4 linked regions of the Caenorhabditis elegans genome follow. The protein of the gene in region 1 interacts with the protein of each later gene in a pairwise test. Each region holds a gene or a part of one and is shown in the gene's direction. Other genes may lie near its edges.

The links.
Region 2: the proteins of fbf-1 (region 1) and sygl-1 interact in a two-hybrid assay, tested with the Caenorhabditis elegans proteins (one study listed by BioGRID).
Region 3: the proteins of fbf-1 (region 1) and gld-2 interact in a two-hybrid assay, tested with the Caenorhabditis elegans proteins (one study listed by BioGRID).
Region 4: the proteins of fbf-1 (region 1) and lst-1 interact in a two-hybrid assay, tested with the Caenorhabditis elegans proteins (2 studies listed by BioGRID).

The regions. Positions count from the first base shown.
Region 1 is NC_003280.10:6,076,037-6,083,858, reverse strand, and holds fbf-1 (Fem-3 mRNA-binding factor 1), read left to right. Parts: upstream 1-3,015; 5' UTR 3,016-3,138; coding exon 3,139-3,180; intron 3,181-3,226; coding exon 3,227-3,460; intron 3,461-3,508; coding exon 3,509-3,678; intron 3,679-3,730; coding exon 3,731-3,983; intron 3,984-4,026; coding exon 4,027-4,640; intron 4,641-4,688; coding exon 4,689-4,817; intron 4,818-4,862; coding exon 4,863-5,066; intron 5,067-5,110; coding exon 5,111-5,309; 3' UTR 5,310-5,596; downstream 5,597-7,822. Other genes in the region: F21H12.3 (uncharacterized protein), read right to left, coding at 353-800, 851-939; H12I13.6 (uncharacterized protein), read right to left, coding at 5,624-5,775, 5,849-5,924. UniProt on the Caenorhabditis elegans protein: RNA-binding protein that binds to the consensus sequence 5'-UGUGCCAUA-3' in mRNA 3'-UTRs. Involved in the control of stem cells and sex determination in the C.elegans hermaphrodite germline.
Region 2 is NC_003279.8:12,480,743-12,488,323, forward strand, and holds sygl-1 (Ecdysone-induced protein 74EF), read left to right. Parts: upstream 1-3,066; 5' UTR 3,067-3,169; intron 3,170-3,438; 5' UTR 3,439-3,474; coding exon 3,475-3,657; intron 3,658-4,304; coding exon 4,305-4,583; intron 4,584-5,256; coding exon 5,257-5,415; 3' UTR 5,416-5,493; downstream 5,494-7,581. Other genes in the region: pars-2 (putative proline--tRNA ligase, mitochondrial), read left to right, coding at 6,299-6,420, 7,138-7,336.
Region 3 is NC_003279.8:6,367,040-6,374,781, forward strand, and holds the start of gld-2 (Poly(A) RNA polymerase gld-2), read left to right. Parts: upstream 1-2,708; 5' UTR 2,709-2,860; intron 2,861-2,925; 5' UTR 2,926-2,989; coding exon 2,990-3,029; intron 3,030-3,134; coding exon 3,135-3,323; intron 3,324-3,370; coding exon 3,371-3,494; intron 3,495-3,545; coding exon 3,546-3,616; intron 3,617-3,717; coding exon 3,718-3,949; intron 3,950-4,159; coding exon 4,160-4,290; intron 4,291-4,338; coding exon 4,339-4,467; intron 4,468-4,520; coding exon 4,521-4,605; intron 4,606-7,742. Other genes in the region: K04F10.7 (Protein FAM76A), read left to right, coding at 1-366, 413-550; ZC308.4 (F-box domain-containing protein), read left to right, coding at 1,267-1,337, 1,394-1,709, 1,762-1,926, 1,973-2,140, 2,188-2,457. UniProt on the Caenorhabditis elegans protein: Cytoplasmic poly(A) RNA polymerase that adds successive AMP monomers to the 3'-end of specific RNAs, forming a poly(A) tail.
Region 4 is NC_003279.8:10,585,776-10,592,702, forward strand, and holds lst-1 (Lateral signaling target 1 protein), read left to right. Parts: upstream 1-2,725; 5' UTR 2,726-2,736; coding exon 2,737-2,766; intron 2,767-2,897; exon of another isoform or gene 2,898-2,903; coding exon 2,904-2,972; intron 2,973-3,158; coding exon 3,159-3,704; intron 3,705-3,786; coding exon 3,787-4,040; intron 4,041-4,217; coding exon 4,218-4,305; 3' UTR 4,306-4,689; downstream 4,690-6,927. Other genes in the region: Histone-lysine N-methyltransferase set-18, read left to right, coding at 5,038-5,127, 5,174-5,368, 5,411-5,556, 6,086-6,536, 6,749-6,889. UniProt on the Caenorhabditis elegans protein: Plays a role in germline stem cell maintenance, perhaps acting in concert with mRNA-binding factor fbf-2.

The DNA.
Region 1 (7,822 bases):
GGATTCATGGGACTCGTTGGAATTAAGCTCAATCCGGTTTCAGCCGTAACTTTGATCACCGCAGTTGGAATTGGAGTCGAATTCACTGTTCATGTGGTTGTCTCATTCCTGACGGCGCTCGGAACAAGATCTCAACGAACGTCATCTGCAGTTGATCGAGTTTTTGTTCCAGTAATTCATGGATCATTCTCCACACTTCTCGGTATTTTGATGCTTGGATTCTCAGTTTGAGTGAGTTTTACAGAAGTATGGATGTCATCAGAATTTTATTTTTCAGATTTGTTGTCAAATATTTCTCTATTGTCATGACGGCTCTGATTTGCATTGGAACGGACTAATTCTTCTCCCAGTTTTATAATCTTGTTTTGTTCCAAGAAGAGAGATAAAATGTTTTGTTCCAAGAAGAGAGATAAAATAGAGATTCCGTAGTAAAATATCCAATTGTAGTAAAAGATCTAGATGTGGAATTCTTAGTAAAAGAGATTCCGTAGTAAAAGAGATCCTGTAGTAAAAGAGATGCGTTGTAAAAGATCAAGTAGTAAAACAGTATTTGCCCAAAGTCTGACCAGCGAATCATATCATCAACTGACAGCGCACTCAACGACGTCCCAAGTGATCGGAGTGAGGATTTTGGGAGAGATGGATGCGGCTCAAAAGCTTTCGATCCATCGCAAAAATAATCTATTGGAGTAATCCAAATGCATATCATATCGATGACGTCACCAAGCGAGGAAGCGGCAGAATCGGCTGCGACAGATGGTGGAGCTGGTTTGAAGCAGATGTCGGATAGAGACCAGTCCCTAAAATGATCAATTGTTACAAGAAAAATATATTGGTAGTCTTCACTTACACTCCATGAACTGAAACGTTGAAACTAGCGATGTGCTTCATAATCTCGGCGTGTTTTAGAAGAGCGAAGAGGTCCTGCAGCAAGTGCATCTTGTCCCACACGTTTTTTTTATTTTCCAATAATCCACATTAATTGTAATCAATGTTGCAATCTGAAAAGTGAAAATCAGCTAAATCAGAAAAAAGGAAACAACTTACGTTGAGAGTTTAAATATATAAAAACCAGCCGTTCGCACGCGCTGAAGCGCGTGCTCCGACTGGCGTACTCAAAATTAAAATCAAATTCTGAAATTTCTGAGCCTTTCTTTGCAGATGAAACGTTTTTCCCTGTTTTCCGGAAGTTCTCGAGCAACATAAATATCTACAAACTATGGAACAAACGGCCTTCATTCCGAGATGACAAACTTTTTGGTGGCAAAGGTTCTTTGGGGGCATAGTATCCAAGGAGACAAAGTATCCAGTAGACAAACTGGGGTGTATCTTGGGGGGCATATCTTTGGTGACAACCTTTTTTTCAACTAGATTTTTATATGTATTTTTCAACTAATTTTTGTTCACATTTTTCTGGAATAAGTTTTTTAATGCAATTTTCAATCGATTATCGGTTATAATTCCCTCACAATTAAATGTATGAACGATGGTCTTTTGGGAAAAGCTGTAAAAGGTCCAACTAACTTGGAATATCGTGAGGCTCTTCCTGATGGTCTGATCCTTCAGCTCCGAGGGATCACATAGGTACCTTCTGATGTTCTGATCCTTCAGAAAAGAAGGATCGTAAGGGTACCTCCTGATGGTCTGATCCTTCAGCTCCAAAGGATCACGAGGCTCTTCCTGATGTTCTGATCCTTCAGCTCCGAAGGATCACATGGGTACCTTCTGATGTTCTGATCCTTCAGATAAGAAGGATCGTAAGGGTACCTCCTGATGGTCTGATCCTTCAGCTCCAAAGGATCACGAGGCTCTTCCTGATGTTCTGATCCTTCAGCTCCGAAGGATCCGACGTCATCATCTCGAAGAATCTTACGATATTCCAAGTTAGTTGGACGTTTTACAGCATTTTCCCAAAAGATCATTGTTCATGCATTCAATTGTGAGTAGTCAAGGCCGAAAATCCATGGAAAATTGCATTTAAAAACTTATTCCAGTAAAATATGAACAAAAAATGGTCAAGAAATATATATAAAAAAACTAGTTGAAAAAGTTTGTCACCGAAGATACGCCCGGTCAGAGACAAATGGCACTTTGTCGACTGGATACCATGTCACTTTGGATACTTTGTCCCCAAAAATACCTTGCCACCCTAAAAGTTTGTCCCCTCGGAATGAGGGCCAGTTACCAGTGGCCATAATCGTGTGATTATTATTTGGGATGTTCGAAGTGTTTGCTCCGCCCTTTCTGGATCACAATAGACAATTGCTTCTTCTACTTCTTGAATGTCTCATAATTCTTCTTATTTTTATCTAATTTATTGCTTCTCCTTTCTATTTTGTATATTAACTCCCAAAAACGCCCATTCTTCCCCAAAACCATCTAAAACTTACCAATATTTCCCGATACCCCTGACAGGTTATCCTGAATAATGATTGTGATTCTCAAATTTCTTCTAATCCCGTTAATTCCCCAAATATTCGAATGTAACTTTTTTTGGAATTTTTTTGTTTTCTAGTTTATAAATAAACAATATGTTTGAAAAACAATCGTAATTTGCGTTTTAGATGGTTAAACGGTAGGAAGCTTAAGCTTCCTACAACATCCAAATACAATGCAATATTTTCTGAAATTCTAAATATCAAAACATCATCCGGAATATGGAGATTTAATGCAACTCTATAGAGGTTTATGGGGACTTAGTCTTCTGGAAATTGAATTATGTGATTATGAATTAATTTTAAAAAAACCAATCCCAATCATACGATCGTCGACGACGATCGTCCCTCGCGTCTCGCGAGAGCCAACTGGTTATAGCTTTTCGGGAGGTTTAAATGTTTTATCAATTTTATACGGTACGGTCTGGAATATTCCACAATTTTTTATCTGTTTTAACAGAGAATATCTCTCCATGGAGATGCTAAAATTTTGAGAGATAAATAAGCAAATCGCATTGTTTGAAAATTTCAATTTGGATACGGTAGACAATGACAAAGTACGCAAACACCAGAGTATGTGACACACTTTCGTCATTCTCAAATTCAATTTGAAATATTATTTTCTTATTCCTATTCTCTATTTTCTGTGAATTGATAGTTTTTCTATAAGTAACCATTCGAATAAAATTATCAACTAATCGACATGGACCAATCAAAAATGCGCTATACAAATCAGTTCAGAAAAGTTGGTTTTCAGCCATTAATATTGATAAATGGCCTAAATTTTACAGACTCCGCAAAAGCCCACATCTACAGAGGTTGGAAATCATCATACTCCCGCACATTCGCCGATGGCGCAGCATGAGACATCAATGTGGAACTTCAACTCTCTCAACCCGTATTTCTCAATGCTCAATATGAACGATGGGATGAATTATGCTCGCCATCAACAGAATCACATTGTTACATCGCGGCCACCAACCCCGCTAACTGATTTGATGAGCCTCCGGAGTTTTCAGAGCTTTGTAAGTTAGAGTAGCTAATTTTTGGTTGTTTTCATTACTGATTTGCAGCCCAATGTGTTCATGCCGGTCTCGCGTAGCCGAACTTCATCATTCATTCAGTCTGATACGGATTCCTCGCGTCTCGAGCCGGACGATTTTTCACAAAATGTCCGATATTGCTCTACCGAGATTGATCGTAACAATAGTTCTTCGAAAAATGACCATTTGAAATATTCGAGGTTCGAATTAATTTATCACTATCCTCAAGTGTTTATTCTGTTTTATTTATAGACCCGCTCTATCGAGGAACTCTAGATCATTCACAAGATCAAACAATGTGCTGCCAACCTGGTCCTTGGATTCCAATGGTGAAATGCGTTCAAGATTGTCGCTCTCTGAAGTTTTGGATAGTGGCGATTTGATGAAGTTTGCCGTTGACAAAACTGGGTGCCAGTTCCTCGAAAAGGCCGTGAAGGGCAGCCTGACATCTTATCAGAAGTTCCAATTGTTTGAACAAGTTATTGGGAGAAAAGATGATTTCCTTGTAAGTTTTAGTTTCTGCGAGCACACACGACTTTTCTTTTCAGAAATTGAGCACGAACATCTTTGGAAATTATTTCGTACAAGAAATCATTGGAATGTCATTGACAACTTATGATGACGACAACATAAAGCGACAAGAAAAGTTGAAGAACTTCATCAGTTCCCAAATGACAGATATGTGCTTGGACAAATTTGCGTGTCGTGTTATCCAATCCAGTCTCCAGAACATGGATTTATCCCTTGCGTGTAAACTTGTTCAAGCTCTACCTCGTGATGCTCGTCTTATCGCAATCTGTGTTGATCAAAATGCCAATCACGTCATTCAGAAAGTCGTAGCTGTCATCCCACTGAAGAATTGGGAGTTTATCGTGGATTTTGTTGCAACCCCAGAGCACCTCCGTCAGATTTGTTTTGATAAGTATGGGTGCCGTGTTGTGCAAACTATAATCGAAAAACTCACTGCTGATTCAATAAACGTTGATTTAACTTCCGCTGCTCAACATCTTCGTGAACGAGCACTCCAACGCCTCATGACTTCTGTGACTAATCGGTGCCAAGAATTAGCTACGAACGAGTATGCCAATTACATAATACAGCATATTGTATCCAATGATGATCTGGCCGTATATCGGGAATGTATCATAGAGAAATGCCTCATGTGAGTGTTGTTTAATATATATTTGATTTTTAATCATTAATATTTCAGGCGCAATCTTCTTTCGTTATCCCAGGAAAAGTTTGCGTCTCATGTTGTAGAGAAAGCATTCCTACATGCACCAATGGAACTTCTTGCTGAAATGATGGACGAGATTTTCGACGGATACATGCCACACCCGTAAAAATTTCGTTTCAGTCACATAAAAATTAAATTGTTTTTCAGGGGCACTGGAAAAGATGCTCTCGATATCATGATGTTCCATCAATTCGGAAACTACGTCGTTCAATGCATGCTGACTATTTGCTGTGATGCTGTGTCTGGAAGACGACAAACGAAAGAAGGGAGCTATGACCATGCAAACTCATTCCAAGTTTGGCTCAAAAAGTTGCACTCGAGAGTTACGAAAGAAAGGCATCGCTTGTCAAGGTTATCACTATTGTCACAATAATATTTTGAAATTCGAATTTCAGGTTCTCATCCGGCAAAAAGATGATCGAGACGCTTGCCCATCTCCGTTCAACTCATCCGATTTATGGACTCCAATCTTCGGGACATGAATCATTCAAGACGGATTGCTTCAGTACTGCTTCCGAACACGATGGTCTAGAGTTGGAGAAGAATGGAATCGAGGAAGGTAACCTGAGGCTCATGCGAACTTTCTCACCATAAATCTCATCCCACCCACTTATGTTCTGTTGTTTTGTAATATTTTAAACTGTTGCAATGGTTTCGTTTCGATTTTAAGATCGATGTTGTGCCATCCCCACCCTTATCATTGCCCAGTTTTGTTTTTTCTTTTCTTTTTTGTTGTTTTATTGCTTTTCATGCAGTTGTGTTATTGTTTCTTTCTGTTTATTGTTCATTGTTTTGTTTTTTTTTTTCGAATTTAATGAATCCAGATAAATTTGGACACGAAAACTCTAAAAATTAAATAAAATTATTTCAACACTAAAATAATTCATTACGCAAAAACAACAAACAAATTATTCGAAGATTTCCTCTCGTTGACGCCAGGTAGAGTTGGCGTCGTCGTTCTCCATGTAAACCATTGATGTTGGAATTGTGGGGCGAGCCTCCACGCCTGGCGGTGGTCTTCTCGGTGCGAACATCATCGACCCACCAATCTCCTCTTCGACTGAAAACACAGAGTATTTAAAATAAAATGAGAATGAAAGGTAAGTTCCTCCCAATTACTTCAGTAAACTCGCCTTTTTTAGCCTTAAATTTTCCGCAGTTCACCAATACGGCAGCAGTGAGAATAACAGAACAGACGAGAAACAGCATCTGTAAATAAATTTGATTTCAATCTCTACTCTTCAGCACTTATACTATAAGTGTTGTACTTCTATGAGTTTCATTGGATAAGTGTCTATTCGGAATAGTCTCGCTGCACTTTATTCTCTACAGTAATCTTACATTAGAGTATACGCGAGAAATGGAGAGTGCTGCGAGAACTAGAATGAATATGCCTCCCTTGAAACGTATAGAAAGATTGGAAAAAGAGGAATTGGATTTAAAAAAAAGAAAAAAAAAAGTAATCGGGATTGTTAAAACCTTTGATATCATACAAAACGATTTCCTCATGCACTTTTCACGTGGAAAATCAGGAGTAAGCAACGTGTCCCCTTATTTGTTGACGTCTGAAGCCGTGGCAATAGGTAGGAATAGGACTCAAATATTTTTTAAAATCTAACAACACAGATTTTTACGCAGTACATAAAAAATGAATGAAGGACGTTCTTCAAGTGTTTTGAAACATTCCAAGTTTTAGTGGATTTAAAAGTTAAAAACCAGTAAAGTTAGTAGTGTTCGGTATAATATGACAATTAGTAGTCAAATGGATGCAAAATATTTCAGAGTCAGTTTTAGAATAAAGCAATCCATAAATATTCGAAACCACATTCAGTTCTTGAAATTACAATTTGCATGTTCTGTACCATTCCGAGTTTTAGTGGATTTAAAAGTTAAAAACCACTAAAGTTAGTAGTGTTCGGTATAATATGACAATTAGTAGTCATATGGATGCAAAATATTTCAGAGTCAGTTTTAGAATAAAGCAATCCATAAATATTCGAAACCACATTCAGTTCTTGAAATTACAATTTGCATGTTCTGTACCATTCCGAGTTTTAGTGGATTTAAAAGTTAAAAACCACTAAAGTTAGTAGTGTTCGGTATAATATGACAATTAGTAGTCAAATGGATGCAAAATATTTCAGAGTCAGTTTTAGAATAAAGCAATCCATAAATATTCGAAACCACATTCAGTTCTTGAAATTACAATTTGCATGTTCTGTACCATTCCGAGTTTTAGTGGATTTAAAAGTTAAAAACCACTAAAGTTAGTAGTGTTCGGTATAATATGACAATTAGTAGTCATATGGATGCAAAATATTTCAGAGTCAGTTTTAGAATAAAGCAATCCATAAATATTCGAAACCACATTCAGTTCTTGAAATTACAATTTGCATGTTCTGTACCATTCCGAGTTTTAGTGGATTTAAAAGTTAAAAACCACTAAAGTTAGTAGTGTTCGGTATAATATGACAATTAGTAGTCAAATGGATGCAAAATATTTCAGAGTCAGTTTTAGAATAAAGCAATCCATAAATATTCGAAACCACATTCAGTTCTTGAAATTACAATTTGCATAATCTGTACCATTCCGAGTTTTAGTGGATTTAAAAGTTAAAAACCACTAAAGTTAGTAGTGTTCGGTATAATATGACAATTAATAGTCAAATGGATGCAAAATATTTCAGAGTCAGTTTTAGAATAAAGCAATCCATAAATATTCGAAACCACATTCAGTTCTTGAAATTACAATTTGCATGTTCTGTACCATTCCGAGTTTTAGTGGATTTAAAAGTTAAAAACCACTAAAGTTAGTAGTGTTCGGTATAATATGACAATTAATAGTCAAATGGATGCAAAATATTTCAGAGTCAGTGTGGGAACAAAGCAATCCATAAATATTCGAAACCACATTCAGTTCTTGAAATTACAATTTGCATGTTCTGTACCATTCCAAGTTTTAGTGGATTTAAAAGTTAAAAACCACTAAAGTTAGTAGTGTTCGGTATAATATGACAATTAGTAGTCATATGGATGCAAAATATTTCAGAGTCAGTTTTAGAATAAAGCAATCCATAAATATTCGAAACTACATTCAGTTCTTGAAA
Region 2 (7,581 bases), on another chromosome or scaffold:
CTCACCCACCGAAACAGGAGTAAAGAAAAACAATGAACGAGAGGTCTTTATCTTATTGTTGTGGGCGGAGTCTTCCTTCCTTCCTGGGAAGAGGGAGATGATGCGCCGCCATCTGCCTGGAACCTGTAGCGAGACACTGTATATTCTGGTGAGCCTGTAGAGATACAAAGACAATAAGATTGCCTCCCCCTCTTATGCGAGCCGCCACACATGCTATAACATTGTCTCCTTCCCCTAGTGCACGAGAGCGGCCGTTACACATGCTATAACATTGTCTCCTTCCTCTAGTGCACGAGAGCGGCCGCCACACATGCTATAACATTGTCTCCTTCCCCTAGTGCACGAGAGCGGCCGTTACACATGCTATAACATTGTCTCCTTCCTCTAGTGCACGAGAGCGGCCGCCACACATGCTATAACATTGTCTCCTTCCCCTAGTGCACGAGAGCGGCCGTTACACATGCTATAACATTGTCTCCTTCCTCTAGTGCACGAGAGCGGCCGCCACACATAACACATGCCCCCCCCCCTTCTGACGGTGTGCCAACTGCATGAAATGCCTGTGCAGGAGACCTGTGGAGATACAGTGCTGGCCAAAAAGATATCCACTTTTGGTTTTTTGTGTGTAACTTTTTTCTAAGTGGTTATTTTGTTTTGAAACTTCACCACAGTGTTCACAAAATCTAAAAACACAATATTCATCAAAAATGTTCAACAGATTTTGAAAAAACTTCAGAAAAATTCAAAAAAATCGAAAAACTAGAAATATTGAAAAAACCGAGGTTGCAAGGAAATGACAATTAAAGTACCGGAATATGAGCAATTGGATTTAAAAACAACATAATTATGCTTAATACTTTGTCGCGTATCCGTTTGCATCAATAACAGCTTGACAACGACGTGGCATCGAGTCGATCAGCTTGTGAATAACTGACATGGGGATAGCTTTCCAAGCGTTTTCCAACTGGTTGAATTTGGCATCTGCATTTGAAGCCCGAATACCTCCAAGACGTCTTTCCAACTCTTCCCACAAATGCTCTATTGGATTCAAGTCCGGAGACTGACTTGGCCAATCGAGCAAATGCACACGACGACGTTGAAACCAGGAACGCACATGAAGAGAAGTATGCTTAGGATCGTTATCCTGCTGAAACACGAAGCCACGGCCCACATTTTGAAGTGCCCAGGGTCGCATTGTAGTTTCCAAGATGTTTTCGTATTGAAAACGATCCATAATGCTTTGGATTCTCCTTAGTGGGCCCATGGAAGTGCTGGTGAAGCACCCCCACACCATGACGCTCCCACCTCCATGCTTAACGGTTGGGCATTGATACTTTGGAGAGTACCTAGAGCCAACAGGACGACGTACCCAGGAATTTCCATCACTCCCGAACAAATTGAACTTGCTTTCGTCAGACCAGATGCGCTTTTGCCCACGCAACTCGAGCCATGCGATTTTTCTTACTGATGAACGGTTTCTTGACTGGCTTTCGTCCGTGTAGTCCTGCTTGCTGTAAACGTCGACGAACAGTTCGTTTACTTGGTACAGGTTCATTTGGAGAACTTATAATCATTTGAATATCCGTGGCGGTCCTATGCGGATCTTCTCTTGCTGATCGGAGGATGTTGCGATCCATCCTATGGGTTGTCACTCGAGGCCTGCCGGGCGAGATTCTCAAAGCGACGGATTTCTAAACATTTATTATTAAAAAATAATATTTTTCGAACTCACCTCAGTTTGGTACTTCTTGATTACTTTCCAAATAGTCGACGGAGAACGTTGAATTTGCAGCGCGAGCATTTTCGTGGGTATTCCTTGTTCGAAGCCAGCTACAATGGCTTTCTTGACGTCCAAGGAAAGATTTTTACACCCAACAGATTTTACCATACCTTAAAAATAATTTATCAACCAAACAAATCCAGAGCAACAAACAGAGTGCGTTTTATTGATAATTCAAAAAAAATAATGAAAATTGGAAAAACGAAAAAATCAAAAAATTGAAATAAAATTCAGAAAAAATCGATAATCATGTAATGTTTGGTCCGCAAATTTGCGTAACATTTCGCTTTATGCACACGGAAAAATTCAAGTCAAATGGATGCTTGAGAAAAAAGTTACACACAAAAAACCAAAAGTGGATATCTTTTTGGCCAGCACTGTACGTTGACCGCAGTTAACATAACCGTATTTTCTCCCTCATTTTCTCCTATTTTCCCCCTAATTTCCCCTTTTTTTCTTTTTTTCTAGGAGTCGTCGCCGCTTTGCTGAAATCTTGCTTAAATCTATAAAAACAGACCACAATTTAGTGATTTTGTCCGTTTTGCATTTTCAGTAGGTGACCCTAGTTTGGAAATTTTGAATTTTACCATTTGAAGAGGTATTAGGTTGGGAGTTGGTGGGTGATAAGGGAGAGGTACTTTGTTATACTGTATTATTAGTATTATTAGTAAGAGTACTGTAGGATTTGTGTAGTTTGGGGAAATTTGAATTTTTTGCTATTATTAGGATAGGGCTGGTTTTCAGGCGAGTTACACGGGTTTAAAGTTGATGGCCTAGAAATCTTAAGGCCACCAATTTTTAGAATTTATCGATTTTAGTAGATTTGAGACATGTTTTCGATTTTGTCTGTTTTTCGGAATTTGAAGAAAATTTCCCTCTGAAAAAATCGATAATTTTTGAATTCCGGAGTTGTTAGTCGAAATCTCTCGAATTTGCGCTGTTTTCTGTCGATTCTCAGAGATTAAGGGTCCAATAAAATTATGTTGGCATGTTTTTTATTAGCAGTGTGTTCTGCCGAAATTTAATGAAAAATAGTTTTTCCGGCTTTTTTTAAAATAATATTTGTGTTTTTTTCGACGATAATTACCAATTTTCTTTGAATTTTCAAGGTTTTTTCTGTAGTTTTTACTTGTTTATCTTGTATTTCCAATTTATTTCAGTATTTCCTCAGTGGCGTCTTCAGTGGATTTCTTTTTTCGCGAAGAAGATCCCGAAAATTTGCAATTCCCACTAAAAGGACTACTGTAGTCAATACATTGTGTGACACCGCCACGCGAAAGCGCACAGTTTCCCACGCTTTTGCCGTGGGAATTTCCAATTTTCCCACGGTGATTTTAGCATATAAGAGGAGAAAAATGGGTCAATTTCCATTTATTTTTCGACGAAAATGTAAGTTTTTTCGATTTTTTATCAAATTTTGTTGGTTTTCTTGAGAATTTAGTGAAAAATATTGACTTTTAGATTAAATTTTAAATTTTGTCGGAAATTTTCAAATTTTTTGCATAACTTCCATGGAGTTAGAGTTTAATTGAATAAGTTTTTGTTCAAAAAATAAAAAAATTATGCCCAAAATTTATTTATCACTAAAACAAATTTTCGAAAAAAAATTTTTTTTTTGATCTACCCGCCGATTTTCTAATTTTTCTCCTTTTTTTCAGCGATCATCGAACCATTGTCATCACGCCACGTGCATAATGCCATTCCATTATCCAAAACTCTACATGGATCACCGCGGAAACATGTCCACCTCATCGTCTCTGACGTCATCGACAACCGCCACGTCATCATCGTCAACCGGAGGCGTCCGCAAGCAGATTCTCACGTTGAAGCCAAAGCAACCGAATGGTTATGTGCAACACTTGGAGATCAAGGCAAAGGTATAGATTTTTGTTTTAAAAATCATTTTTTTGAACCCTAAAATTGATTTTTTCTCTTTAAAAAGTTGGATTTTTCCAATAAAACTGTTTAAAAAAAGCTTTCAAAACCGAAAATTCGTGCTCAGCACCCTCGAAAACCCAAAAATCCCGCAAAAATCGATAATTTTCTCTTAATTTTGAAAAATTGGTCGAGTGGCGTAGTGGGATTTTCCACAACCTGCCACCAATCACAAGAACAGTGTTCGAGTCCCCACTGTGGCAACTTTTTTTTTGTTTAAGCTTTGTTTAAGCTGTTTAAGCGAAAGCTTTAACACATGCGGACATCAAAAATTTGACTGAAATTTCAGATTTTTCCCAGTTTTTACTCAAAAAATGTAATTTTTGAGCTTTTTTAACCGAATTTTCGGCTTAAAGCCTGATTTTCGCAGTCCCAAGCCCTTTTAGAACAATGCTTCAAAAAACAAAAAGATTTTGCCACAGTGGGGACTCGAACCCCGGTCTCGTGGCAGTGGCAGCCGACGAAAATCCCACTGAGCCATTTGGGCACTTTTTTGAAAAATCCTCAAAATAGCGGAAGTTATCGATTTTTAAGCCAAACAAATAGCTCTGGGTTCGATTTTTCCATTAAAAATTATCGATTTTTTCAGGAATCAAGCCAATCTTCGGTGATTTCCGGCGGTGTCCCGGTTCCGGTGACCCTGTTGGAGTTGAAGAAGAAGGATCGTAGCGAGAAGAATGTGGTGACCAACCTGAAGTATCGTAAGCCAACGGCGAATCATCATCTCGATTCGGTGCATTCTTCGTCGGAGCACCATCACCACCACCATCTGAGCCTGAGCTCTTTGACGCGCCGCCCGGGATCTCCGTCCTCGTCCGGTTACGAGACTGACTCGCTCGTCGATCAGGAGAATTGCGACGTTTTTTCGGTAAATTTAAAAAATTTCAAATTTGAGAAAATCCAGAAAAAAAAACGGAAATTTTGAACCAAAATTGACTTTTTTTTTTTTGCTCAATTTTTCCACTAAAAGTGAACTTTTTCATCTTTAAACTACTTAAAAATCAGCCTTCAACAATTTTTCTCATCAAATTCCGGTTTCTCTTTCCAAAAATCCAGATTTCTGCGAAAAATGTCCATATGGCGCAGTGGGATTTCCCATGTGCCTGCCAATTTTAAGACCCGGGTTCGTGTCCCCACTGTGGCAACTTTTTTTTTCGAAGTGCGATTAGGTTAATTTTAGTGTCCTGAGCTCGAAAATCTTTGATAAATTTATTTTTCCTCGCGGAAAACATGGGAAAAAATTTGAAAAACTTCGAAAATCCCTAAATTTTCGATTAATACCGATTCCCCATGACATCTGAGCACACTGTAAAACCTAATCGCAACGAAACAAAAAATTTTGATACGACGGGGAGTCGAACCCCGGTCTTGAGATTGGAAGCCGACGAAAATCCCACTGCGCCATTTGGACATTTTGCTGCAAACTGCCAGAAATCTAAATTTTAATGCTTTTTTCATAGTTTCAAGTGTTCAAAAAGCAGTTTTCAGTAGCTTTTTTTTATTTTTTCAATTAAAAAATTCAAATTTCCCTCCATTTTCAGAGTCTCTTCAACTCGTCGCTCAGCTACCAATCGGCTCTCGACCATCATCATCAGTTTCACGAGCTCGACATGCTTCACTCGCATCCGATTTGGTCTCCACAGTTACCGAACAACAACACTTCACTGATGATGGGCTCCAACAGCTATTATTTGCAGTAGAGCGTACTTGCTCTTTTAAATTTTCTAATCCCCCCCCCCCCCTAAAATCCCACCCCACGCCTAATTCTTTAACTAATAAGAATTATCAATTTTTTTGGTTTTCTTTCTGTGTAATAAACTCCGCCCCCCTATTTCTAGCCCCACCCCTTTATCTCTCATTTTTCTAATAATTCTTTGTTCAATCCCATCATTCTTACCCCAACTTCTGTTTCAGCTCCCCCCAATTCCTCCTAATTATTCTAATTTATTACAAGCTCCTCCCATCTCCAACCCTCCGTGCTTGCGAAAATAAACGTTTTATAAGTAAAAAATTGTGTTTTTTTTCTGAAATTTTTCGAAAAAATAGGTTTTCGACTCGGGAAGTACTTTACTAGTTATGGCAAATCGAATGAAAAGCTGAAAAAAATTTTTGCCACAGCGCGAGCTTGAACCCCGGTCTTGTGATTGGTGGGCGACGAGAATCTCACTGCGCCAATCGGACACAAAAGTGCTGTAATAATCGATTTTCGGTTGAAATTACTGTTTTTTACCACTTTCTAGACGATTTCCTTTCTTTTCTGTGTATTTTTTTTTTAATTTTTCTAGTAGGAAAATTGAATTTTAAGCGATTAATAAAGAAAAAAAATCAATTTTCAAGAGAGATTTTTGGAATTCAAGCATTTTTATTAAATTTAAAATCTTTTTTCTTAATTTCTACCTATTTTAGTTTATTTCTCCCATTTATTCCCTTTTGTTTCCATCCAAAACCCACAATTTCCGGCCGGTGTGCGGTGGAGCGCGCTTGCACACTTTTATTCCAGCTAGCTGCTCGCCCCGATTTTTGCTCAATTTCATTGATTTTTCGCCGATTTTCTTGCAGAATTCCATGAAATCCAGATGAAAAATGCTTTTTAAAGCGAGAAAATGGATTTTAAGTGGTGCGAGTGCTCAAAAAAGCAAAAGTATGGCTCATACGATGCTCGTCGAGAATGGATTTATTTTGCCGACGGCGAAAGGATTTTATAGGTGAGTTTTTTGTGAAAATTGATGTAAAAATCGTGAAAATCACAAGAAATTGTCCTGAAAGCTGTGGAAATGTCAAAAATTGTGCAAAATATTAGGAAAATTGGATTTTTTTCAGTTTTTAGCGCAAAAAATCTGAAAATCGTTTTTCGAAGTGAAATTTGCTGAAAATTATTTAAGTTTCATTTATTATTCTGAGATAATTGGAAAAACAACTGAAAATTGTCGAATTCAGCGCAAAAATGCCCAAAATTTTTCCATAAACGGTTTTTTTTCCACAAAAAACCTCATTTTGCAGTTCGAAAATTAGATTTTTACGTAGAACAGCCCCAAAAAAAATTCTAGCAAAAAATTTAATTTTCTAATTAAAAAATTAAAAATTCCTCAAAAACCGACGATTTTCCGTCAAATAATTATTTTTCCGCTGAAATTTTTTCGAAATTCGAGATTTTCTCAATTTTTCCAGAAATCTGAGTTCAAATTCAGATTCTACGTGGCAAATAACCGCTTATCATCCATTTTCAAAGTTTTTATGCAAAATTCCGTCAAATTCGGTGTCTGGTACGCAAACACTAGGCTACAGTAACCCCGGGACATCCGATTTGACGACATTTTGCACTAAAACTCTCAAAATTATGATTTAAGAGTATTTTTCCACGTAGAATCCGATTCTGAGCTTCAAATTTCACAAAAAATCAAAATTTATGCGAATTTTTGCAGTCTCCTGCCCCTCGGACAACGTGTAATCGACAAGTTGTGCCGAATTCTCGACGTGGAATTTCAGAACTCGGGAGCTCTGAAAATCGCGATGCCGATCGTCGGAACACAGCAATTATGGGAAAAAACTGGCAGATGGGAGGCGATGGGACCGGAAATGATTCGATTTCACGACCGACAGCAGAATCATATGTGCCTTCAAGTGGGTGAGCAGTTGGAAATGGGGAAAAATTGATGAAACAACTCTAAATTCCTAAATTCTGAGCTCAAAATCGGATTTCTCGTAGCAAATTACCCCTTCATCCCAATTTTCAGTTCTTTAGTGCAATATGTCGTAAAATTCGGTGTCCCGGGGTTACTGTAGCATGGTGTTTGCGTGCCTGGCACCGAATTTGACGGGATTTTGCACAAAAACCTGAAAATGCTGGATTTGAGGTTATTTGCACT
Region 3 (7,742 bases), on another chromosome or scaffold:
GGATCCTCAACAGAGCAGAGAGATCGAGATCATCGTCAACACCGTCCAACATCTCATCATCATCGAGATCATAAAGACCATCATCGACGAGACGACAAACATCATCACCGCGATTCCAATCATCGTCATGCTCACAAACGGCGACACCAAGAAGAGCCCAATAATAACAGTAACAACGGAACATCTTCGTCTGGTGGAGCTCCACCTCTAGTTCCAAACAATGAAAATGGAAATGGATTCCCTCCATTCGGAGATCGTGATCCCGGAGAGAGTATGGTGAAGCAACAGAAAATGGAAGACGAGATTCGCCGACTGAAAACATTGCTCGCTGAAAAAGATCAACTTATTTTTGATAAGGATAAACAAGTATGATTTATATTCCAGTTTTAGATTATTGATTGAAACATTTCAGATCAGCAATTTAAAAGCCGACCAATACAATCTGGATAAAAAGCATCGCGAACGTGTCCAACAACTTATCAAAGAAAAAGAAGACAGTATTCGAGCAATCGAACAAATGCGAAATTCGAAAAGTTCTAAGAGGAACTGATGTCAATTGAATATAAAACTATTCCTTGTAACTATTTTTATTAAGCTACCAGTTTTCATAATTGAAAATCAATTCTTCATGCCATATTTCGAAATTTTGTGTTCGAGTTTTAAATCAAAAATTAATATTTGGTTCGTGAGCTAATATCTTTTTTAAAATGAAATTATCTTTTCATTGTATTATTCACCTAATATTTACTTCAATTTGATCCAAAGTGCACCTTCCCCCTATCGCTCTCCCCGGTTGACCCGGCATCCCTTTCACTCGTCTTCTAATTACAATCTTTGGACGTAGCTACTTCTATTAACCTACTAAATTTGTTATAGTGTACCCATTTTCTGTCACTGTCATCAATGCCTGTCTAGTTTGATAATCTGTGAGATAATTTTTCTACAAGTCTGTAACATGTTTTTTTTAAATTTTACTTTTTTTGAGATTAGTCTTTTTTTCGAGTCTTTGAATTTTTCATACAATAAACTGTTCTCGTATAGCCTTGACTGTTTTTAAATCTATAGCATAATACATACGCTTTATGGCAAAATTACAGGAGAACTATGTTTTAAATTTAAAGTAGACCTGATTACGCGACATCTCTGGAATCTTTTTTGACCTACGGGCGCAGGCGCGACGATTGCGGAAACATAATTTCAACTGCGTACTAATGAAGAGATGGAAATGCTTATTTTTTGTGATTTCTAAACTTTTGAATCTTCATCATGACCACCGAACGTGTTCTCCAGTATCCGAATTTGTTAAAAATCGTCCCATATCTCAGTTACAGTAAGAGGTTCGTTAATTTTTTTTTTCTGATTAAAAACAGTGAAGCATTACATTTTTTTATAGAATGGAGCTTTCGAAAGTTTCTCCAGAATTTCGATCAATTCACAGTCGATTAGACTATTCACTGAAGACTATGTCATTCTCTCAGGATTACGGAGCAATCAGTGAAGAAGGACCAATAGAAGTAGGATCAGGAATTTTGAAGGTGGAGTCAATTGAATATATTTTTGAATACGATGAGAACATGGATCAAGTGAAAATCAAATGTTTGTTGGCCCCGGAACTTGTGAGATTCTCGAATGATAAGTCAATAATCAGAAGATATTTTCATTATTACCTGGCCGCTTCACAACGAATTGTTCAGCATGTCAAACTCAGGGTTTGTGAATTCATTTTTCGATTATTCTTGTTGATTATAAATTACATTTCAGGAAAGTGACAGTCCATTTCGAAACCTTCAAAGCCTAAAAATTCCATCCATTTCTTGGACTCTAAACGGAGCTAGAGAATATCCTCAATTCATCAATTTCCAAAACCATGTTTTTGAGAAATTAGAATTAATCAATTACGAATCGATCGTATTGACGGAAACCCAGGTATTAAACGCATGGTCTATATTTTCATTCAATTTACGTTTTTAAGGTGAAAAGTTGCAAACACCTTGTACTAAAAAAGGAAACAATTTACCAGGAGTACACCGTTGGAAACGAGAACAGTGCCATCAGAAATTTCTATTGTATCCTGAGCAATATGAAGTTGGAATTGGTTTTGGGACTGAATTACGTCGAATCTTTTATTCTGCTTTGTAACGTAAGTCATTTCGCCGGTATTTGCTCCTTTTATTTCTCGTATTATAGCGTCTTCTTCTCGACACCCTTCACATAGGATCATCTGTCACTGCAATTTTCATCAAGGAACCTCTTCTAAACGTTTGGAGAACCCTATTGGAACGATATGAAGACTCGCGAGGAACTTTTATGGGTTCCGGACACCGAAAGTGTGCTATATTGTCAACTGACAATAATATCAAGGTAGCAGTATTTGAAAATTATTTCGGGAAAGACTCCAATGGAAAAGAGAGTTTCACGGCAATCAAAATGAACAACAACGTGGAATTTGATGCCTAAATCATTTATTTCTCATATTGAAGGATTTTAAATTCACTAACTATACAATTAATTATTGCAATTGTCTTACATTATATTGGATAAAATTCATCTTATTTTTATTTTCGTTTAGAAGCAGTGAAACCATTTAAAATGAAACGAAAAGAAATTCCACGTCGCATTTTCGAATATCGACGTGACCATTCCACGTGAATCATTTCCGTTTTTCGTTAGTTTTTGAATTAATTTTTTGTTCAATTTTTACCCTGAAAATGCAGCAAAATCAAGAACACAACGACTTGCCGAATTCGAACTGTTTCTCAGTTGCGCATGGAAATTCTACCGTACGCCAAAAGGGTTTTTTTTCTTCACAGCTTAAAGGCGCAATACCTGACACAGTGCATGGGTCTCGCCGCGAGATACGGTAAGCGAGCGCCAACGCCACGCATTGAAAAGGCGCTGAAATTTGATTTAAACTTCGCTTTTCAGCTCGCTTTCTGGCAGTTTTTCCGACGATTTCCGTCGGAGATATCCGTCTAATTTTGTCGCCAATATGGTTATGGCTCAACAGCAGAAAAATGCAGAACGAAACGGTGAGCAATCTGAGTTTTCAATCAAAACTTTATTTGAAATTGAGAATCGATTTTTGAGCCAATCTCAACCTTCTCATTCTTTTAATTTATGATTTATCTTTTCAGACGAACACACTCGACGCAACAGATCTCCTTCAGTCGATTCAGTAAGCCGTGTGCAGCAGCAAAGTGGGGGCTTTGCATTTTATAATCAGCAGTCAAACCATCAATATCAGCAATCGCATCCACGACGTACAAGCTTTTCGAGGGATGGGAACACTGGATACTACAACAACCATTCAGGAAATAAAAGACGTCAGTCAGAAAAATTATTGACTTGCTACCAAATTGTTCATTTTCAGAAACCTACAATAACCAGCGCGGCGGACGCAGTTACAATCATCGCGGGAATAGCAATTATCAACAGAATGGCGAGTATTCTGGGAATCAGGGATGTGTCCCAAAATATCATCAAAGGAATCAAAAGTAGAAAATCGAATTTCGTTTTTGCTATTCCTATTAAAATCGGTATTTCAGTTACCCTCAACTGCAACCAAAGTATTCCTACTTCCAACCACATCAGAGACCAATTTTTAACTCGACCCAGGGTAGGAAATTGTGATTGACATAATTTTAGATTAATAGCCTTACATATCTCCCCTAAAATAATAATCTGAACTAATATGAAGAATAAATAAATTTTTTTCAGGTTACGGCACATATTCTGTCCGTCGGTCATCGCCACCATCTCCATCAGCTCTATCAAGCTCAACAGCGAATTCCACATCAAACCGAGCTCCGACGCAGCCTCCAATCCTGCTCAGGCACGCTGAGCCAGCTAGTGATAAGAATCATCAAGGAAGCGATCATGAGCAAAATCATGATCCTAAAATTCATTTGTACAGGTCGGCTGGCACCGCACCGGGTGGATATACTCAATGGTAAATTTGTTTTCCAGGCCTGTATTTCGAATTTGAAGGTTTCTCATTTGATCTACCATAAATGCCCAGATGGTTTATTGCTTCGAAAAGAGTGGCATTTTTTGGCGGTTGTGTTTTGGGAAATGATAATTAAATTTTACAGGAGAATTTTTGAGCCTTTGTATTTTATCTAAATCTAATTTCATCTCATCTAAAAATTATAATTTATAGCCCATCTCCGTACAAACAGCCACCACCACAACCTCCGTCTACACCATCATCTTCCGATAAACGGATTGAGCAGCAACAAGCAGAGGATTGGCCGACGCGGTTTCAACATCCTCCTCCACAATTCAGACGCGGTGAGTGTTATTTTTTTCATTTAAAAATTTTCTAAGTAATATTTTTAGGGCAGGATCCAATGCCAGCCTCAATAGAGCTCCAGCATAAGACCGCCAATCAAACGATGCCAGTTGATATTGTACAGACGAATCAGCAGAAAACTGTGTCATCTTATGAGAGGGCTGCACAGTTTAGAGGTTGGTTCAAGTCATAAGCTCTACTTTATGTTTTATTCAATTACTTTTTTCAGCTTCTGCAAGTGAACTACCAACGGACAGTGTCGATGCAAAACACCCGTGTTTCGCTAACGAGCGTATGCAAAGTGCTTTAATCGGGTTAGTTGGAACAAATCTCAAATTATTTCAAATTAAATTTTAGTTCTTTAAATGCTGAATTCTGTCTTCTGCCCAGTATATAATTATATATTTCCCACGTTATTCTGATACTAGTTCTGAGATTCGGGGAAACTCATTGTCGGCTTCATCAGCTAACTAATAATTATCTTGAATGACATTGCTGGAATGTGTCCTCTGCCCTTGTCACTTCATTATTATTTATTCGTATCTTCTCATCTCATTTCCTGTACTGTTCAAAGAGAATGTCCTCCGTCTAGTAACTAGAAGCATAACCAGTTCATCATCAACAACAATCAATGGTGGAAAATCGGATATTAGACTATTAAGAAAAACTAATAATTTTCGGAATACACTCAAGGGATCATTTATCCATGATATTCAAGAATTCGTGGTTATTTTTTTATAGAACTGAGAAGAACGGTAACTTGACAACTTTCATGTTGATGTTATTTCTCAAAAAACCAAGTTTACACTTATAAATTCTGAAGATTTTTTGCAAGACTGCTTACGATTAGTTTAAACATACACTTTTCTGTTGGTTTTATCATCTTGTCTCTAGAAATTTCTCGGTTTTACTTCCTCTGTCAGGTTTTTCTTTTGTATTTTTTAGTTTCTAATTCCATAAAATGGAAACAATAACACGATTAACAGCGGCTGTAATTTTGCATAGATTAAAAAGTTTATATTGTCAATAGTTAGACAAAATTGAAGTTTTTCATTTCCAATGGCAACGCCTACGAGACATTCCTCTTGTAAACGATATCATCTCCAGATCTGAACATCTTTATTGTTCTACTCTATTTTCTGTGTTTCGTCTTGATCATACCCGTAGTGTTTCGATTTTTGAACTTAACTATGATTAGTTTAGTGACTATCGGATAATATTTAGGAGACCGAATTATAGTTCGTGTCGAATTATGTTATCTTTATGAACACAAGGAATATATTCTACCTAGGCCAGCTAGGAAATTGCATCTAAAAAGTTGCGTGTTCCACTTGATTGGACTAAAAGTTTTTTTTTTAACATGAGCGGATAAACAAAGAATATCGAAGATATTTCAAATGAAATTCATAAACTTACCAATCATCTGCAGGTGGAACTAAAATAGTAAAATGACATTTATCCGTTCACTTTACACCTTTCTTCACTCTCATCTTTCTCTTTTTCACTGTGATTTTCACCCGACCACGAAAAAAGTGAAAATCTGCAGGCAGTCCCTATGTATCTCTGACTTCTTCTTTCTCTCCTTTTCGTCCTTTTTTATTATTATTGTTAGAAATGACACAGCTGAGAAAAGGAGATACGAGGTACAGTGAAAGGGCGTGTAAATGTTATACATATGGCTTGATCTGTGTGTATTATACATCTAAGTCGTTTAGCACTCAGATCATGTAGACAAATGACTTACTGAATTTATTTTGGAAGTTGGTTACTGTAAACTCGTTTTTTTTGCAAGAAAAAAATTGGTTTTTTGTTGATAGATGTTCATGAAAAAATATAGTTTTTTCGATGCTTCAATGATATTATCGAAAAAATACGATCGCACAAATTTCTAATAATTTATTTTTGATCTACCTGTTGAACTTGACTCCGCCCCCAATCTTGTTGCCGTTGTTATTTTGCTGTGGCTGTATTGTCGAAGGAAGGGGAGGAGCCTATTCAACAAGGTAGATCAAAAATAAATTATGAGAAAATTGTGCGATCGTATTTTTTCGATAATATGACATATCCTGTGTTTCGTAATCCAACATTTTTTTCTAATTTCTATGTTTATTTAAGGTTTTTGTGTTCGGTCATCGGATGTGTGCTTATTACAGAATTGTTGTATGGGAATCTCAAAATCTCTCAGTTTCCTATAATTTTCGGATTTTTTTTCGTGAATACCAATTTCAACAGCTGAACAAATCCCTTATAAGCGAACGCTGGTTATTGCTTCTTTTTCGAAACATCTCGCGACATTGTAAATACAATTGGTTCAAAAAAAAATTGAATTTTAAAAGCACCAAATTGGGACCGAGTAGGCAAGCACATTGTCAATATGTTAATGTAGAATTTTTTAATGCCGATTCTAATTGTAAGGGCAATTCCATCCTGTATATCTATCATGATTGCCTGCGATCTGGTTCTTCTCGCCCTACCTGCTAACTAAGTTCATTTCCCTCCCACATTTCCGAAGAAATCCAACAGACAAAATGCTTTACGTGCAGTTTCGTCAAGTTTCTTTTTCCTACCGCCTATCTCTCTGCACTTCTATTAGTGATTTCGCGGGTTTTCTTCCTCTAGAGATGAACACACAGAGCGTTTGTTGGTGTTTTTCTGATTTCTTTTCTCCTCCTTCCGATCTCGTCAATAGGAGGTTGTAGTAAAGGTTAGAGACTAGGAAAGATGGATCAACTCAGCTGTTTTGAAGTTTTGAAGTTATGTTTGTGCAGTTCCAATCTTTCTGTGAGGGATAACTTTTCTTTTTAGAAGGAATACCTACCACAAAATACGTTTTTTTTTAATTTTACGAGTTCCGTTTGTATTTATTACCCTTTGAATCTAGTTTTACTTCAGAAAACTTCCAAAATTTGTAAATTTTCATAATAATATAACTTTACCTACTACAAAAAATTGTCGACATGAACATCCGTTCTTGTTGCCTACTTGAAAGTTCGTTTGTACTAGAACTTCTCTCTGATTGCATTAAGATCTGGCATGTTTCGATGGTTGATAGTAATGTTACATATGTGTGAAATAACTTCACAAACTACTTTGCCAATAACTTGTGTGTGTTCTCTTTTTTGAATCATCCGCTTTGAAAAAATGTATATTTTAGCACTTTCGACCTTTTATCTATCAATTTTTGAGACTATCGTGATAGCCTATGTGTCAATTTCGCTTTCTTTTTTATCATCTGTAATAAATATTACATGAATAGAAATTCAAAACGTCAGATGATCGAATTTCGGTTCAAAAATTTTTGTCGTCATGTGAAAACTAGCAACAAAAAAGGGCTAACATTTTTGATTAATCAAGAAAAACTTCCGCCTATCTGTTATCGAGTCATATTCGTTTCGAAAAAAAAAACGAATTCAATTTCTGCATTTTTAGCAGAAATGCATAATAATATGAA
Region 4 (6,927 bases), on another chromosome or scaffold:
ACCCGTTATTCGGGACGACCATTGACACTTTATCGTTTCATTTACTCCAATTACGTCCTTTTTTTGTCGTGACACTAGTTTCTGAATAGTTTTGTAGCATGTAGTTTATGGGAAAAATATTTGTTCTTAATTTTTAACTGAATTTTTTTAAAAGAAAAATACCACGAGCCCTGGCCATCTCGGCTCACTTCATAGATTTCAATAAGGTTTTCACTACAAAAATATAGCAAAATGAAATATTAATATTTTTGTGGAACTTTCCAAGGATTAAACAAAATATAATTAAGTTATGAGATGTCAAAGTTAAGCAGTAGTCCCCCTCCATGCACCAACTTTGGGAGCTCATATCTGGGTTGTGTTTTGATTTATCAAAAAATTACTAACTAACGAAAAGTTTATTATGTTCAATTTTGTACCTGCAAATTTAACCGAGATATAAGTTAACAAAGTAACAGTACTTGGGTGCACCATGTTTTTGTCGCTCCACTTAAATAGACCTTTCTTGGCTTATTATATAGTTATTAAAAATGTTTAATTACAAAAATATAGAAAAATAAATTATTATCACAATGTTAGTTTGCAATTTTTAAATTTAGCAAAAAGATAGTCAAGTTGTGAGCTACCAAAGTCTGAGAATCACAGGCCACCTTCTCTTTTCCGGAGGCGATTTCGGGTGAGAGAGGGTGATTGTGAGTTGCGCCCCCCGTCGAAAGGTTACGCGATAACTAATATTTAGTGAGTAAGTAAAATAGTTTAGAAACAAAATATTGGGTGGTTTACTCTAACCTCCCGAATGCCATCTAAATATTTACATACTGATAAAGTTCAAATAGCACACAGGTTTTTTGTGTACACTTTTTCACTTACTCGAAACATAAGATGTTCGCTATTTATTTAAGATTTTAAGAAGAAGATTACTTCTTAACTTATTACTAATAGTAAGCATTCTTCTAGAAAACTAAAATTTTATTTTTCCTCCAGCTTTAAAGTATTCGAATACTTGACCTCAATCTGTCTCTCATGTTCCTCCATCTGTTCAAATACGTGACAAAAAACTGATAAGAAGGAGAGCTTGCACTTGAAGTTTACACTTTTAATAATCTTTCAATTGTTACTACTGACGGCATTCCATTTAGTTAATCGGTTTATTGAATTTTGAGTGTGATTTGATAAAAAGAAAGTTAGTGAGAATTGAATCGCGTTCCTAGTGATAAAGTTTTTGGAAACTTTATAGTTTTCGTTGTTTTGTAGTTTTTTCTTTACAATCGAAATTTTATTGTATGGCACCAAAGTAAGCTAAAGGCACACAGGTCCATTCGGATGGGTCTCGCCACGAAAAAATGTTTTGATAGCCCATTTTTGTGGTGATCGCTGCAGAATTTTCAAAGATTTTTTCGTAGGTTTTCGGTAAAATTTTTTATAAAACTTAAATATTTATAAAAATTAGAAAAAACACATAAATTGTGCCAAATGTAAGAAAAACTATTTTGAAAAATCGATGAAAATTCGACGGAAACGAACATTTTGAATCTACAGTAGTCTCAAGGAGTACTGTAGATTTAAGGCGCAAACCTGCTTGTATTTAACATAAATTCAAGACCTGGTACTTTATTTTCGTCGTAAAAATTGCAAAATTTCGTACCTAGGTAATATTTTTATTTTTTATTTTTTTAAAACAAAATTTTCATGCAGTTCCGTTTTCAAAACGATAATAAAATCTTCGAAGTGTCTGAAATGTCGCTTTTTTGTTATCTTAAACCTTTTTTCCGTTTAAATTTAATGTTTCCTTGATAAGTTCCAATTTCCCAAACATCTGAGAATGCTTAGATATCTTCCCAAAATGTTTTCAAATTGACAAATGGCTGTATTGTTCAATGATTCATCTTGTCATTCTTTTCTCCTAAAGAAGAGGTCTCCATTCATCTTCTACCTGCCGTTATTGACCACCTACTGTCGTAGTTTTTATCGTTTCATTTAGTCACTCTAATTACTCTCATCTCTTTTCATTTTTCCCCCATTTCGATTGAAATTAGATTAGTTCCGATTGAAAGTGTTCGGATTTTAGGTTGATGAGGCTTCGATGACAATTTTACATTCCAATTTTAAAACTTCTATATTTTACGAACGAAATATTTCCAATTCCGGGACGCGTTGAGAGGTATGCGCCTTTAAGAAATACAGTAACCCGCTTGCAAGGAATTTTACACGTTATTTTTTTCTCGCTAAGATTTTTTTTTTGCCTTATTTTTCAGGTTTTCATGTAATTCTGCTTATTTTTGAAATAGAAAAACTAGAAAAAGCTTAAGAAAATTGCGAAAGGGGAGTGGGTTACTGTACATCTTAAAGGCGCACACCTTTTTGAGCGGCTTCGATTAATGGGAAACTATTTTCTTTCCCATCTGGGAACGTTTTTCTCAAATTTAATTGCTTGCCCAAGCGATTTTGAGGTTTTTTTTCAATTTTCAGACTAATCCAATGTTTTTTCTTTAAAAATAAACTTTTTGTCGATTAAAAACATGTTTTTAAATGTTTTTAAAGCCCGCGAAATTCAAAAAAGCTCTTGCATTCTTGCTCCATTGCATTTTCCCACGCCTCCCCCAGGCGTGGGAAAATACGTGGGAAAATGACAACTTTCCCACGCTTGTTATTTTCGATGAATTGTCCAATTATTCGTCGGTGCCATGTTCTTTCTCATTTCAAAAGAATTATTTGACTATTCAATCTTCGCGCGAGACAATGTGTTCGACTTTTATTCTTCCTCCAAGAGTGAGTTCACTTTTTTTTTGAAATTAAATATGTATTTTCTCTTTCCGATTGAATTGTTTCAACGATGATCCCGATTCTCCAACTTTCTCCATTTCTTTTATTACCTTCAGTTTTATAATAATATTATCATTTTTCAGAGAAACAACTGCAACAAAAGCAGTAGTACCATCGCCTACTCGAAGTCGCAACACGAGGCGCCGAAGCAAGTGAGTTGGAAGTTTTATTTTTCGTTTATATAAACGTGTCGAAACTGACCTATTTTTTGTCACGCCGTTCACGTGGCTTTCGTCACTAAATAGAATTTTGCGCTCCAAAAACAGAATTTTGCTCTTTTTTAATTAAAATAAATAATTTTTCATTAAATAGACGTAATTAATAAAAATTAATTTCAGCTGCTTCAACTCCGATCTGAAATCAAGCCGCTGATTCCGCTCAATCAACCTTCCAATTTTTGGGAATCCAGTCAAGATAGCGGAGTTCTCTCCAGCTTGTCATCTTCTCCCCAACAACGTTCGGGCCTGAGAAGTCAAAAATTGCATTTGACGTATATAGAGAAGAACAAGAGAGTTCGTGCAATGATTCCACAACAACAGCATTATCATGCATTTGATCGCCCGACACACTACAATTCTCGAAAAACGTCTGGCCCACCACCACTGATGAGAACACCATCTTCCGGATTTTCGTCGGCTTCTTCGTCGGAGAACATGTTTTCTGGATTGACATTGTCAGACAATGAGAACAAAATCCACGAAATCATGGATCCATCAGTTGACGTGGATCTTGACATGTTTCTTTTGCCTGATTGTCGATACAAGCAACCAGTGCAACCATCAACCAGCACATCCCGTAACAATGTGAGCCAGATCAGCGGGTCGAGTCGTCTAAATGGATCCACGAGACATGTCGCACCAATTGTTCCAAAAGTTGCAATGCCGGTGAGTTTAAAATAAATTTTAAGTGATTTTAAAGAAATCAAATTATAATTTTCAAAATTCAATAAAAATTTACTTTTTTCAGTCGGAGTTATCATATGCCAACGTGAAGCGTTCAAGTGGATATGTGGATTATATGCCAACAACTTACAATTCCAACGTGACGTCCAATTCGTCTGCAGCATCGGTTCCAATGTCTCCGGGCACATGGGTTCGGTGTCACTATTGCTGGGAGTCGTATGTGAAACTGTGCCAACGAGTTGCAAATCTCGAACCACTCATCTCATGTGATGGCCCATGGAATTGGCATACACTTTATGATATGCAAGGACGAGTCACGTATGTTTTTATTTATTCTTTGAAATCTAAAAATTGATATTTTTATCGAAACACGACCTAAAATTTTCTTTTAAAAAATTGTGTTGGAATTCGTAATTTTTTCGATTTTTAAATATCTAAACTTCGAAAATCTAATAATTTTTTTAAAAAAATCTTCTCAAATTATTATTATTTCAGATGTCCCCGACTGTGGTTTGCTCAACTCGATCGTGCCGGTTCAGAAATGGTCGAACAAATGGGACACGCTCGAAATGTTCCAGTCTAAGCAATAAAATTGGTTTAAATATCAATTAATTTATATTTTACCACCCCCTTCAAATGTTCTTCTTGTTTTACACTATCATCCAAAAAAATGCGGTTCTCTTCTTGATTCTTTTGTTGACGAATACGGGCATTCCGTGTGAGCGTTTTTCTTTTTTATATTAATTCTTTCTGATCCTTATTAGCTCCTGCCACACACACCATTTTATGTTTAACTTACATATTACCACCATCCCTGTTTTTTGATCCCCTTCCCTTTTTTAATAAAACATAATCAACTGTGCGAATTATGTGAATTTCAAATCCCATCCAATCTTTCGCTGTATATCCATGTGCTCTTTTGTCTCTGGTGGGATCTTGCCCGATAAAATAAAGATGTCAAATATTTACTTTTCGCTATTCTTATTCATTTATTGGCAGGAATTTCAGAAATTAAATCTCAAATTGGGATGAGGCACACAGTTGAAGATTTTCGGAATTTTCCACACATTATTCATCGATCACTGGAAACATAATATCATGCGCGAATAGATTGAACATGCTTCAACAAACTTCTCGAAGGATCGATGCATAGGGGTGCTCCAAGAGGCTTCTCGTGTGTAATATTTGCCGTGATTACACTCATCCACATCTCGCGAACTCTCCGCCTTTCCCTCTTTTTCCTGTTTCTTCTCGAAAAATCTTTACTATTCGACACTTTTTGTGAACATTTATTTTTCTACTGAAACTTCTGAAAATGGCTGTAAAAAAGAATAAGAATGTGCCAAAACAGGAGGATCCATTGGTTCAGAAAGACGAAATTTCGTCGATTCATGCTAGAATTAAGGTGATTTTTTTTGTACTTATTTAATTTCTTAAAAATCAAATTACAGATTTTCGAGACACCGTTCGCCACTCAAGTTCTCAATCCAAAAGTGAGCGAATTCTGTGCAAACTGTCTTCGTGGTCCTGCTCCAGGAGAGAAGCTTCTTCGTTGTGGTGGATGTAATTTCTCAATGTATTGTAGTAAAGAGTGTCAGGCAACTGCCTGGTTAGTTCATAAACCAGAATGCAAAAGACTGAAAGCTGTGGGTTTCTAACTAAAAATTGGAATTAATATTAAATTTGAGAGCTTCCCAAATCTTCCACTCACTGAAGTTTTGTTCCTTTCAAAAGTTATCGATCGTATTCAGTTTTTGGAGAAAAATGGAGATAAATTGGGAATTGAGGCAGAGAGGAAATTCTCGAGTTTGGTTGACCATAAGGTTGATATCAGGTGAGAATAATTGAAAAACTGGTGAATAGGATCTTTCAAGAGTCAAAAATCAACGATTATGTCAATTTAATTAGATTTTGTCGCGACTTTTCGTATCTTTTCAGTATAAATTTTTCTAGAGCACGAAAACATACCAATTTACTAAACGCTAACGCGAAACGCGAAATAGAACAAAAATCAGAATACTTTTAACGAATTTTTCAGCAAAATTGGAATTTTAACTATTTGTTTAGATGGTATTCTTCTAATATTCGATTAAAAAAATAAATGTTCTTACTTTTGTTCATGCTTGTTACAAATAAAAGCCAAAATGAATTATGAAAAATCATGAAAATACGAAAAATCGCTAGGAATCTAAAATATTAACTAATAGTTAATTGTCCGAGAGGAGTACACGCGCGAGTGCACTGGAGCACTCATTTGCGCGCGAAATTCAAATTAGATTAACGCGGAGGTCGATTTTCAGCTTTTCGAAGCCATGGAATAGGCGTTTTAAGATATTTGAAAAATATCAAAAACACAATTTTAGAGACGACGAGGAGAAGATGGCTCATTTTGAGAAAATCTTCGAGAAAATGGGAGCCTTCCGAGGAGAGGAAATGATTGAAAAAGGCGAATTCTTCGATGTATTCTGTAAGGCTACAATCAATTCTCACAGTATTCACACAAATGCTGGAAATGAAGTCGGAATGGCTCTTGATTTGGGTGTTTCAAAGTATAATCATTCATGTCGTCCAACATGTTCAATGGTTTTTGATGGATATCGTGTATGTCTTCGACCACTGGTTCCAGGTGTTGATGCTGAAAATACTGAAGAAGCATTCATTTCGTATATTGATGTGGGAAGAAGCAAGTATATTCGAAGAAGAGATTTAAATTCAAGATGGTATTTTAATTGTGAATGTACAAGATGTATGGATCCAGAAGATGATGCATTGACAGCTATTCGATGTGCAAATCCGGCTTGTGATGCTCCAATTGTTAGTTTTTTTTTCAAAATCTAAACGCTTTTGCAGGAAATTCAAATGTTCAATTCGATCGGTCGATCTAGTGTTACAATTTTCTGAAACGTATACTTAGAGTACTGTAGCTGAACAGTTTCGCTCGTCACGAGACCCGAGCCCTTTGAATTGGCAACAAAACTTGCTCTAGAACTTAATTCATTTTCTGAAGAATCAAAGCGAAATTCCAGCTAACATCTGAAACTGAAGAACCAATGAACATTGCTTGTGAAAAATGCAAAACGATTGTCGAAGAGGATACTGTAAAAGCAGCTCAAGAATACATGAAAACCCTTCCAGCATCATTTGATCCAAAGTGTCCAGCAGAAATTGTAAGTTTTCTTTGATTATTATAACAATGTACTGTAAT